2 linked regions of the Danio rerio genome follow. The protein of the gene in region 1 interacts with the protein of each later gene in a pairwise test. Links are inferred from orthologs where the notes say so. Each region holds a gene or a part of one and is shown on either strand. Other genes may lie near its edges.

Region 1 (5,434 bases):
ATATGACATCTGGTAAATAATCACTTGATCAAATCTAGTCTTAAAATTCTGTTTAAGATTTCAGATGGTATTTCATACAATGTATTATTTTTCAATGCATCCCACTCCTACTGCCACTTGTTGAAAATGTAAACGTTGATAAAAAGTCTCATCTCTCCAGGAGGAATTTTTTAATTTCTATTTGCTTTTAATAAAATAAAACATCATATTTGAACCCCCAATATTCAGAATCAGATTAAAGTTGAGAATACTACCATATTGTAAAAAGTGGCATATCTAAACAACACACAATGATAAATGTTTTAATTTAAGCAGTATTGTCACATTACAGCAGCCAATATGCGAAATTAAGTTATAATTGCAAAACATATATATTTTTCTCGGTGTGTTAAAATACCTTACATCCGCTAAATAAAATAATCAGGATGTTAAAAATAGCTGACAGTGACTCAAACTGGACATACTGGAAGATCAAGTTATTTGCATTACATTATTGACATCATGGTTGCAAAAAAATGAATGCTGCACATGTGTTGTGCACAATAAAGCTGCAAACTACAACCCATGGAAAGTGCAAACTCATATATAATCGCTCTCAAAGTGAGAATCAGACATTCATCCGGCCAGAGAGAAGTCAGTCACTCTAGTTGGCCGCGAGCTCCCAGAGTCCCCAGAGACAGACAATTAGGCCGCTTTAGCTTGTCTGTGACCTAGATGTCTGCAGCGCGATCTCCAGTCAAAGCTCCCTCCCTGAGCGAGCAGCCATGCCACAGATATACATAGTAATTCATCAGTCGGCTTCCTCTCAAGAGCCGTCACTGCCTCCAGAGCACTTTACTCTGATGGTACTCAAGCTATTAAAACTGAGTGCCACTGAACGCACATCCAAGAACAGTTTCTCTCATCTGGGAAAATGTATCAAAAGATTAATGCTGGCTATCATATTATGACCAGAAAGGATGCCAACATGTCCAAACGTGGGGACTGGCCATGATTATACTCAAATAACAGACATCCAGAGGGTCCTCAGACTTTTCAGGAATTCATTTATGACCTTTCAAACACCCATTCAAATATTTTACTTTTAAATTCATTTTTTTTTTTTTTTTGGAAAAACGTCAGTCCAATTAATAATTGATTGATTTTTAAAATAAGAATTTAAGAAGATGTTATATTTATCCAATTAAATATTCAGATCATAATAAAAACACATTCATTTAGCACAATCTCGAACCAAACCAGAGGATAGATTAATAGAAATTTATAGAGAAGGCTCTGTTTTATCACAAAAAAATATATATTATTTTGAAAGATAAATTATTTGACTGATTTATCACAGATTTGATTAGCTATCTGAAATCCCAGGTCTGACATAACATTTAGCACTGCTGTGCACACACATACTTCAAATGCAAATACCTCTCCCTGTCCCATAAAACACCGGTAACATAGACCATTTCCTGTCTGAGAAGGTGCAAATAGTCTGGGGTGATGGGTGATGGCTGTGTGGATTGGGCAAACTTGAGTCAGAGCTGAAAAACTTTTAGTAACTAAAGCTTTTAGCACCATTTCACAAAATACATCGGTTTACACGACAATATGCCTTTTACCATATTTAGCAGATACTAAACAAGTGCACACAGAAATCTAAAGGAAGTCATGAAATGTCTTGTTGCTCCTAATATAAAAAAGAAACAACATTAGTGATCTACACTTGATGAAAACATATCCGTGCGTGAGGTATTCTCCATTTAAATTATGGTCACATTTGAGGGCTCAAACTATTTTTTATCATCACAGAATAATACTACCATAGTATTCTTTTAAGTACAATAAAGAATTCAGTACATTACAGCTTATATCATAATAATGTCAAAACAGAATGGTATTACAGATTACTACATTAATTGCACCACTGTATTCCCATTTTTCATTCTTGTTTTTTTTTTTTTTTTTGTATGAAGCATCCACGCATGTTACTACAATAGAATTGTATAGTTGTGTGTGGAATAGAATAATATACTTATTCCTTGATTAAACTATGAGATAATTCATGATATAATTCCTATTATTTATGTGTATACCATCCAATAGCACAGCACATCATTAATTTACCCTGCCAAGTTTAAGTTTAGAGACAGCCCCATGACTTTGAAACTAAATGTGTCATTATGTAAATTTTTTTACCTGACTTTACCGCTCTAAATATTTCTTGTTGACAAGTTTTGATGTACATGCCAACATCATACTTACTGACTGCATCACCCACGGCGGTGCCGGAGCCCCTCATCCTCAGGTACATGAGGCCCAGCAGCACGAAGAACAGGCAGGCGGCTGTCAGGAGGAACATGGACAAGTAGTGGGCACTGAAGCCGCCGGTGGAGGACACCTCCTCCCGCTTAAACTGCTGCAGGAGCTCGTCCTCCGGGACCGTGGTGTGCTGCTTGGACTTGTGAGCTGAAGCATGGCTATAGGAGTGATTGGAACCGGTGTGGTTCGAGTGGTTCGCTCGGTAAGTCGCGGTGTAGGAAGGAAAGCGTGGTCTGAGACCGATGCTGAACCGGCTGCTGCAGGCGGATTCGCCGTCTCCATTGTCGAGGTGATTCCTATGGAAAGAACCAGACGGGATGCTGCTCCCACCGCTGTTGTCATCCCTGCCCGTTCCGGACAGTTTCGGGTAGCTGCGGCTCACGTAGCTTCCGCTAAACTCGCTAGGTTCCTTGTCATCCTCGTCCCTCCGTTCCCCGACCATATCTAGGTTGTAGTCTGGTGTATCATGCGCGCCCAGCGCCGTCTTATCCGAGCTCCAGGCGCTCCGGTAAGGGGAAGAAGAGGCGGGTGGACTGTGTCTGGAAGTCAGACGGCGTTCGCGCGGACGGTCTCGTTCACCCACCTCTTCCTCCTCCTCGTCGGAATCAGAGTAATCCCTGGCTAACTTACTACTGTTCGACTCGTAAAAAGCCTTATTCCCATTCACAGCCCGACTGTCTCTTTCCGTTTCCGCTAAATCACCCGATTTCCCCCGGTCTGCCCACCACGGAGAGCCAGAAACGCTTTTCCTGTCCGCGGATAGCCCGAGGGAGACGGCGGCAGCGGGTGTTCCCGCAGGCCTGATGGTGGGTGTCTGCTGTGCGGATCCCCGGTCTCTCCTGCTGCCGCCGTGATTCGGGCCTCCTTTTTTCTGCGGAGCCTCTACGTCCGACTCGTCCGAGCTAAAGCCCAGCACGAACTTTCCGGCTTTGCGCTTTTCGCTCCGGCTGGCGCTCAGGCGCGTGACGTCACTGGTCGGTGGCCTGGCGCTGAATCCCGGAGCTCGCGCCGCCGAGCTGCTGTTGCTGCTAGCGCCGCTGCCGTTGTTGTTGATAGTTCCGCTGCTGCTGCGCCCTTTCCCGCTCCGGGAGCCCCGCAGTTGTGGCTGCTCTTCCCGCAGCTTTTTCAGTTTTTTCAAGTACACGGGCCGCGTGCTCTCCGTCACCGGGCCCGGGGTGAAGCCGAGCCGTTTCAATTCAGACACAAGCTCCTCATCCGTTAACTGTGCAGACGCCATCTTTGCACGAAAAACGCACACAGCGAGACACGGCGGAAGTGACGTAAAAGTAAGCGGACAGACGGCCAACTTGAAAGGAAAGAAACAGGAAACCCTTTTTTGTGATTAAATGACCAACATTAAACAACACAACAAAACACAATCAAGAAATATGGAGGAAAACAAGTCACAAAAAATAACAACACAATAAAAAAAAGTTTCACCCCACACACGTCTGTTTCCACAAAGGAGTTATAATTTGATAAATGGTCAAATGTTTTAATTGGTTTTGTATAAATAATAATAATAGGCCTAATTATTATAATAATAGTAATAATACATATGACGATTATTATTATTATTTTCCTTTAATGGCTGTTTCTGTTATTGTTCCTAATTATTAACAACAACAATAACTGGGAATTATAATATAATATTATATTATTAATAAATATAATTATAAATAATAATAATAATGAAAGAAAAGCAACAGCAAAAATACTATCTGTTGTTATTTCTAACAATAAAAAATGTAAATATATAAACAAGTACAATCAAGTCTGTCAAGGTTCACTGAATATTTACAGCATTAAAATGATGTTATATATTATTTTAAAAAGAAGGATATATAGTTTATCTCCCTATTCAAACGTGCATGGTGTCAAATAAAGCAGAAACAAAAACATACATATAAAGACTAGAAATTATCTATCTATCTATCTATCTATCTATCTATCTATCTATCTATCTATCTATCTATCTATCTATCTATCTATCTATCTATCTATCTATCTATCTATCTATCTATCTATCTATCTATCTGTCTGTCTGTCTGTCTGTCTGTCTGTCTGTCTGTCTGTCTGTCTGTCTGTCTGTCTGTCTGTCTGTCTGTCAATCAATCTGTCAGTCCATCAACAATACCACCCCTAGATCCGCCCAATGCCCGGAGAAAACCACACTGGGAGAACATGCTAACTAAAATACAGAAATGCCAACTCAAAAACACAACAAAAAACAAAAGTAAAACAAAAACAAACAGAAGGGATAAATACATTACACATTAAAGAAAAAGAAATTTGTAAATTTGTATAATTTACAAATTTCAGTTGTTTTTAAAGCCTTTTTTGTAAAAGAGTTAGAAACAGTTCAGTAAGCAAAATATAAAACAATGTTTTTGGTTTGAAAATTTACATTTATGTATATAACATTTTGTTAATAAGATAAGAAGATTAAGAAAATATATGTTCTTTTTATGTATAGCTTCTGTTTTATAGTTAACAAAACCAAACCAAACATTTTTCCATAGTAAGGAAAAGTCTTTATCAACATTCTCAATTACAAAAAGAGAAAAATCTTTCCAAAGCAAATTATAATAACTGTATTGCCAAATTTAGTGAACTAGGGACTCAGGGTGTTGCTTACAAAACAAACAATTAGTATCAAATGCCATCAAATAGTGACAGCACTACTTACTGCGCCACCACGTCGCCCCTAAATGTAAAAATGTTCCTTCAATTATATGATGGATTATTTTCACTATTGATGATGGCATTGTATTGGTTCATATTGGGTTATATTCTGCACCTTTGTCTGTGGGTAAATGGGTCTTTCGAACCATTTGAACTCCCAGGCATATATATATATATATATATATATATATATATATATATATATATATATATATATATATATATATATATATATATATATATATATATATATATATATATATATATATATATATACATTCTGCATCAGTGCCACATTAAATTAAACAGCACCACCTCGTGGTGAATTGTGTAAATTGCACCTCCTGCTGCGTACAAGTAGCTCGCGGAGCAGACCGCGCGAATCATTCTGTCAATTGAAGACTCGCTCGAGACACATTTACAGCACAGGACTGAACCG
Region 2 (5,547 bases), on another chromosome or scaffold:
TTGTCCCTAAAATGGTGTTTAAAAAATTGAAAACTGCTTTTATTCTAGTAGAAATAAAACAAAAAAGACTTTCTCTAGAAGAAACAAATATTATCAGACATATGTAAACATTTCCTTGCTCTGTTCAACATCATTTGGGAAATATTTAAAAAAGGAAAAAAAAAATCTAAGAATTAAAGAGGGGCTATTAATTCTGACGTATATAGGGCGTGGCAGTGGCGCAGTAGGTAGTGCTGTGCCTCACACCAAGAAGGTCGCTGGTTTGAGCCTCGGCTCAGTTGGCGTTTCTGTGTGGAGTTTGCATGTTCTCCCTGCCTTCGCGTGGGTTTCCTCCGGGTGCTCCGGTTTCCCCCACAGTCCAAAGACATGCGGTAGAGGTGAATTGGGTAGGCTAAAATGTCCATAGTGTATGAGTGTGTGTGTGAATGTGTGTGTGGATGTTTCCCAGAGATGGGTTGCGGCTGGAAGGGCATCCGCTGCGTAAAAACTTGTTGGATAAGTTGGCTGTTCATTCCGTTGTGGCGACCCTGGATTAATAAAGGGACTAAGCCGACAAGAAAATGAATGAATATATATATATATATATATTCATTCATTTTCTTGTGTGTGTGTATATATATATATATATATATATATATATATATATATATATATATATATACATATATATATATATATATATATTTATATACATATATATATATATATATATATATATATACATATATATATATATATATATATATATATATATATATACATATATACATATATACATATATACATATATACATATATATATATATATATATATATATATATATACATATATATAAATATATATACATATACATACATACATACATACATACATACATACATACATACATATATATATATACATACATATATACATATATGTATATATATATATATATAATTAAAAATGTTAATTTTAAAAATATAAATTGGTGATTATATTTTTCAAATATTAATAAGAACATAAATTTATACAAACTGAAATAGAAATAAATAGAAGAATCTTAAGTCTTTTAATTGAAATAATTGTTGTTATTATTATATCATTTTAGAGATTAATAAATATCATGATAAATAATTTTAAATATAAAATTAACTAAATTATTATTTTTAAATAAAATATTTTAAGTAAATGCAGTTTGCATTTGAGTAAATGTATTTTTTTAAATATAATTAAAATAATATTTTATTTATTTTAACAGAATTTCAAATAACAATTATGTCTTTAGTAAATCATAAATTTATATATTTAACATAAACAAAAAATAATGTTTTACTATCATGAAAAAATGACAAAGAACTTTTTAAAAACTGAGCAAAATAAATGTATTATATTTATACATTATATGCATAACAAACATAATAATATATTATAATATAATAAAGGTAAAATTATATTTTATTAGGTAAATATGGTGTACATTTTTGAAAGATTCACTCTTTAGAGTAGGGGTGCCAAAACTTTTTCTTATGAGGGGCCAAAAACCAAACTTGACCAAGGGCTGTGGGCCGAAAGTAAATATACCAAACTGTTACATTAAATATTGCATGAGTGCTATTCTAATGTATTACTAGTATTTGAAAATAACCACAAAATATTGCTTTAAATTATATGAACTAATGCAGTATGTAGTAAACAATCCCATACCACAACGGAGTTCAATGTTGAATACATAAGCTGCACCTGCTTTTGCTTTGATTTGCTCGCCGATGTCTTGTGTATTGCCCTCTATCAGTTAAGCATCAGTATTTACATTTTTAAAGATCAGGTTCATATGCAAAACAAAACTAACAAAAGGTTACATTATATTCGAAATGACAATTTCTGTCAACCCCAACCACCTCCCCATCATTCTCCCTCACGTCTCAAATGGGACAAATCAAAGGTAATGGTATGGGCCAACTTTGACCTGCGGGCCCTAGATTGCACATCTCTGATATAGAGCACAACTAAACAAAAACAGCATTTATTTCCTCAGTGCAGACCTCTGAATAACTGCTGAGTTATTGTTGTCATCAACAGGTCTAAACAGTGTTTCTCATCATTGCCCATCTCACCTCTCCCTTTCCTGAACAAGCTTTTCTGATGCCGAAAACGATCTGCCAAAAATCAATGTCGTTTGAGCACTTGAAACCAGAGATGCTCGAGTCCATCTTTAACCCGAGCAGGCAAATAATACCTTCTGAAAACATTACTGCATGTGATACCAGAGGTGTTTACGCCCCTATAGCCGAATCAAATAATCATATGTGACCCTGGACCACAAAACCAGTCTGATGTTGCACGAGTATACTTGTAGGTGGGAATAGTAAAAACTTTACATTTTTATTTTATGCCAAAAATCAAATGACTATCAAGTACAGATCATGTTCCATGAAGACATTTTGTAAATATCCTACTGTAAATATATCACAACTTGTTTTTTGTTTAGGAATGTGCACAGCTGATTGATTTACATCCAATTTTGTGAACATTTATGAAGTTTAAACCCTCAGATTCAACATTTCCAAATTGCTGTTTCTCTGCTAAATATTGTTCTCTTAACAACCCATACATTAATGAAAATGTATTTATGCAGTTTTCATGTTATGTATAAATCTTAATTTCCAAAAACTGACCATTGACTGTTTTTGTGTTCCTTGCGGTCACCTGTATACGACTCATATCAGTGTATAAAAACACACTTGAGTTTTAACCACGGCTCAGGCAGATCATTGTAGGGTGAACAGCCCACATCTGCTGTTCTCAAAGGCAGTGTGTCCTTATGAAACTGGCGTCTGGAAGTCTGAGTGCTGAGATAGGCTTAATCACCTAAACTCCCCCGCAAACGCGCTTACACATCCTTTCCATCCACTGACCGGTGTTTTTTTTTTTTTCCTTTAAGAAAGGTTCAAATGTAATAGTTGGCAACACTAATCCAGGTGTACACAACTGTCACGAGTCTTTAGAGTGGATGAGCATCATTAAACAGAGAGGCATAATAAACAAACAAACAAAACAAAACATACAATTTACGTTTACGCTGCCTCCCGGTGCAATGACTTAAAATAAGTTAAGTAACGTCCGTTGTACTTCAAATAAGTAACGTTAAGTAACTTTATAAAATATCTTATAAATTATATCTAAACGAGTTTAAAGTAGGCTACATGTGTTTTGTCATCTTATCAAACTCTGGCATTTAAGTTTTAAGTACAAAACAACATTAATAGTGGTACATAAAACGCGTTTTATCCCTTACCTCAGCGTGCCGGGTCGAATAATAGCTCCGCGCCGCCGAGCGCTGGGTCCCGCGCCGACTGGAGGTGTTCAGCGGGCGCGTGTGTTTGGATGCAGCGGCGTCAGTCTGACTGGAGCCTCAGCGCCTGCGTGCTGGATTCATCCGCTGCTCCTGGATCTCTCCCAGGACGGCAGACAGACACACACACAAACACTGGGATCATCCCATTCAAAAGAGTAGCTCCTCTCAGAGAAACACAGGTCACACACTGTGGGCAGCGGTGTTTCACTTTTAATTTGATTTAAGGCGCGGACAGATGTTGTCCCTGTCACAGGAAGTGATGCGCCTTTTGGAAAAAGCTGCAAAGTGAAAGTGGTTAGATTTTCACGACATTGTTAGATTATACGTTCAAATGAAATATTCTTTGAAATTGAACACAATAGTGTTTGTTATTATTATTTTGTCTAAACTTACTTATGTGGTTGAAAACGCTCCAGCAGCGAAATGTTGGTAAGGTAACACAACTACATTTTGTGGCTGGATACTGGGGAGCGTATGGGGTGGGTGGAATACGTCCCAATCACTCAGCCAGTCCATTTAGAAACAGGTGATTAATAAATATGAACGTAAACTTTTAGATCTCATTCAGCTGTCCCCCACTTTTAAAATGTCCTCTAAACCTAGGTTTGAACTATTGAAATAATAAACAGAAAAACAACGAGACTAATTATTTGATTACATTTTAAAAGTAATAGTTCACCATAAAAAGTAAAAACTATTCACTATTTACTGTTTTTCTAAACTTTTGGCATTTTTTGGTCATACGCAAAAAAAAGATACTTTGAAGAATGTTGAAAACCTGTAACCATTGATTCCCATAGTAGGAAAAACAAATATGCTATGGAAATCAATGACTACAACATTCTGTGAAATATTTATTTTTCTTTTCAACAGAAGAAACTCAATCTAGTTTGGAACAAGTTGATGAATAAAGTGATCTTTTTTATTTTTTAGAGTGAACAATTCCTTTAAGACATCAACAAACTAACAAAACTGCACGCATGTTGTTAATTTTAATTAATTTAACGCTTAATATGGTACAAGAAAAAGTCGTTTTATTGTTATAACTTTACTTTTTTTACAGAACGTTATCTGGTTCCATTGTGATATTTTAGCACATATATAGCGCTTATTTAGTTTTATACACACACACACACACACACACACACACACACACACACACACACACACACACACACACACACACACACACACACACACACACACACACACACATATATATATATATATATATATATATATATATATATATATATATATATATATATATATATATATATATATATTAACACTCCCACATTTTTCAAATAGTTTCTTCTGTGGAACACGAAAGATATTTTGAAGAAAACAGCCATCGACGTCCGAAATGATCTTTTTTGGGGGCGACCTAACTTACCCCTTTAAAATACAAACGCAAAACTACTACGATCAATTTTTCAAATGACTTTGTCATGTTTGTTATTTATTAGACAAAAGGTCATAAATAGTGTGACGTTTAGTCAGTGAATCATCGGAGGAGGATGCTGAAGCGGAACAACATTAATCACGTGAGCGGCTTCCCACTAAAATTTTAGTAGTAAACTTCTGAGTTGTTTGTGAGCTTTTTGAAAACCTAAAGTGAAAATACTGTCTGACAGAATGAGAAGCTGTCTGAGCACTATATATTCTCGTATTCCTATATATTGTCAAAATTAGTATTTGTTTTGGATTCCATTGAGAGGCTCAAGCCTTATTAACTTATTAATAGGGAGCATCGACCTGTTTCAACATGGAACTGTGAAGCCTAATATTAAAATAGTTACATTCAATTAATCTCATAAATAGTTTAAAACAGCTATTTAGTGAAAATATATCTGTTGTATGCTTGCAGACTTTCGTGTAAATCATAAATTCGCATTGTTAACGCAAAACAGACGGGTTGCCAGATTGGCGGAGCGCCAAGCTGTTTATCGATAGCCCTATTTTTCCTCGCCCTCCTCTGCGCGGATGGATACACTTCGATTGTGTGCGTACAGTGACTTGTCCAGTTAATGACGCAAGCCAGGATGGCGACAGAGAGTCTAGAAGTTTGACATTTTCACAGTTTACAACAACTGCAGGGGAACGTAACAATACTCCCAATAATGACAGCTCGCATATTTAGAGCTCTCTTTGATCAAATAAGTCTGGCAGGGGGGAATCTGCCTTCAATAAAAGCACACCGCAAAAC

The links.
Region 2: the proteins of lemd3 (region 1) and smad9 interact in binary tests that used the Homo sapiens proteins (3 or more experiments, as listed by UniProt). The link is inferred for Danio rerio from reciprocal best matches to the Homo sapiens genes LEMD3 and SMAD9.

What each region holds. Positions count from the first base shown.
Region 1 is NC_133179.1:13,501,885-13,507,318, forward strand, and holds the start of lemd3 (inner nuclear membrane protein Man1), read right to left. Parts: upstream 3,555-5,434; 5' UTR 3,548-3,554; coding exon 2,254-3,547; intron 1-2,253.
Region 2 is NC_133185.1:39,992,816-39,998,362, forward strand, and holds the start of smad9 (mothers against decapentaplegic homolog 9), read right to left. Parts: upstream 3,617-5,547; 5' UTR 3,279-3,616; intron 1-3,278. UniProt on the Homo sapiens protein: Transcriptional modulator activated by BMP (bone morphogenetic proteins) type 1 receptor kinase. SMAD9 is a receptor-regulated SMAD (R-SMAD).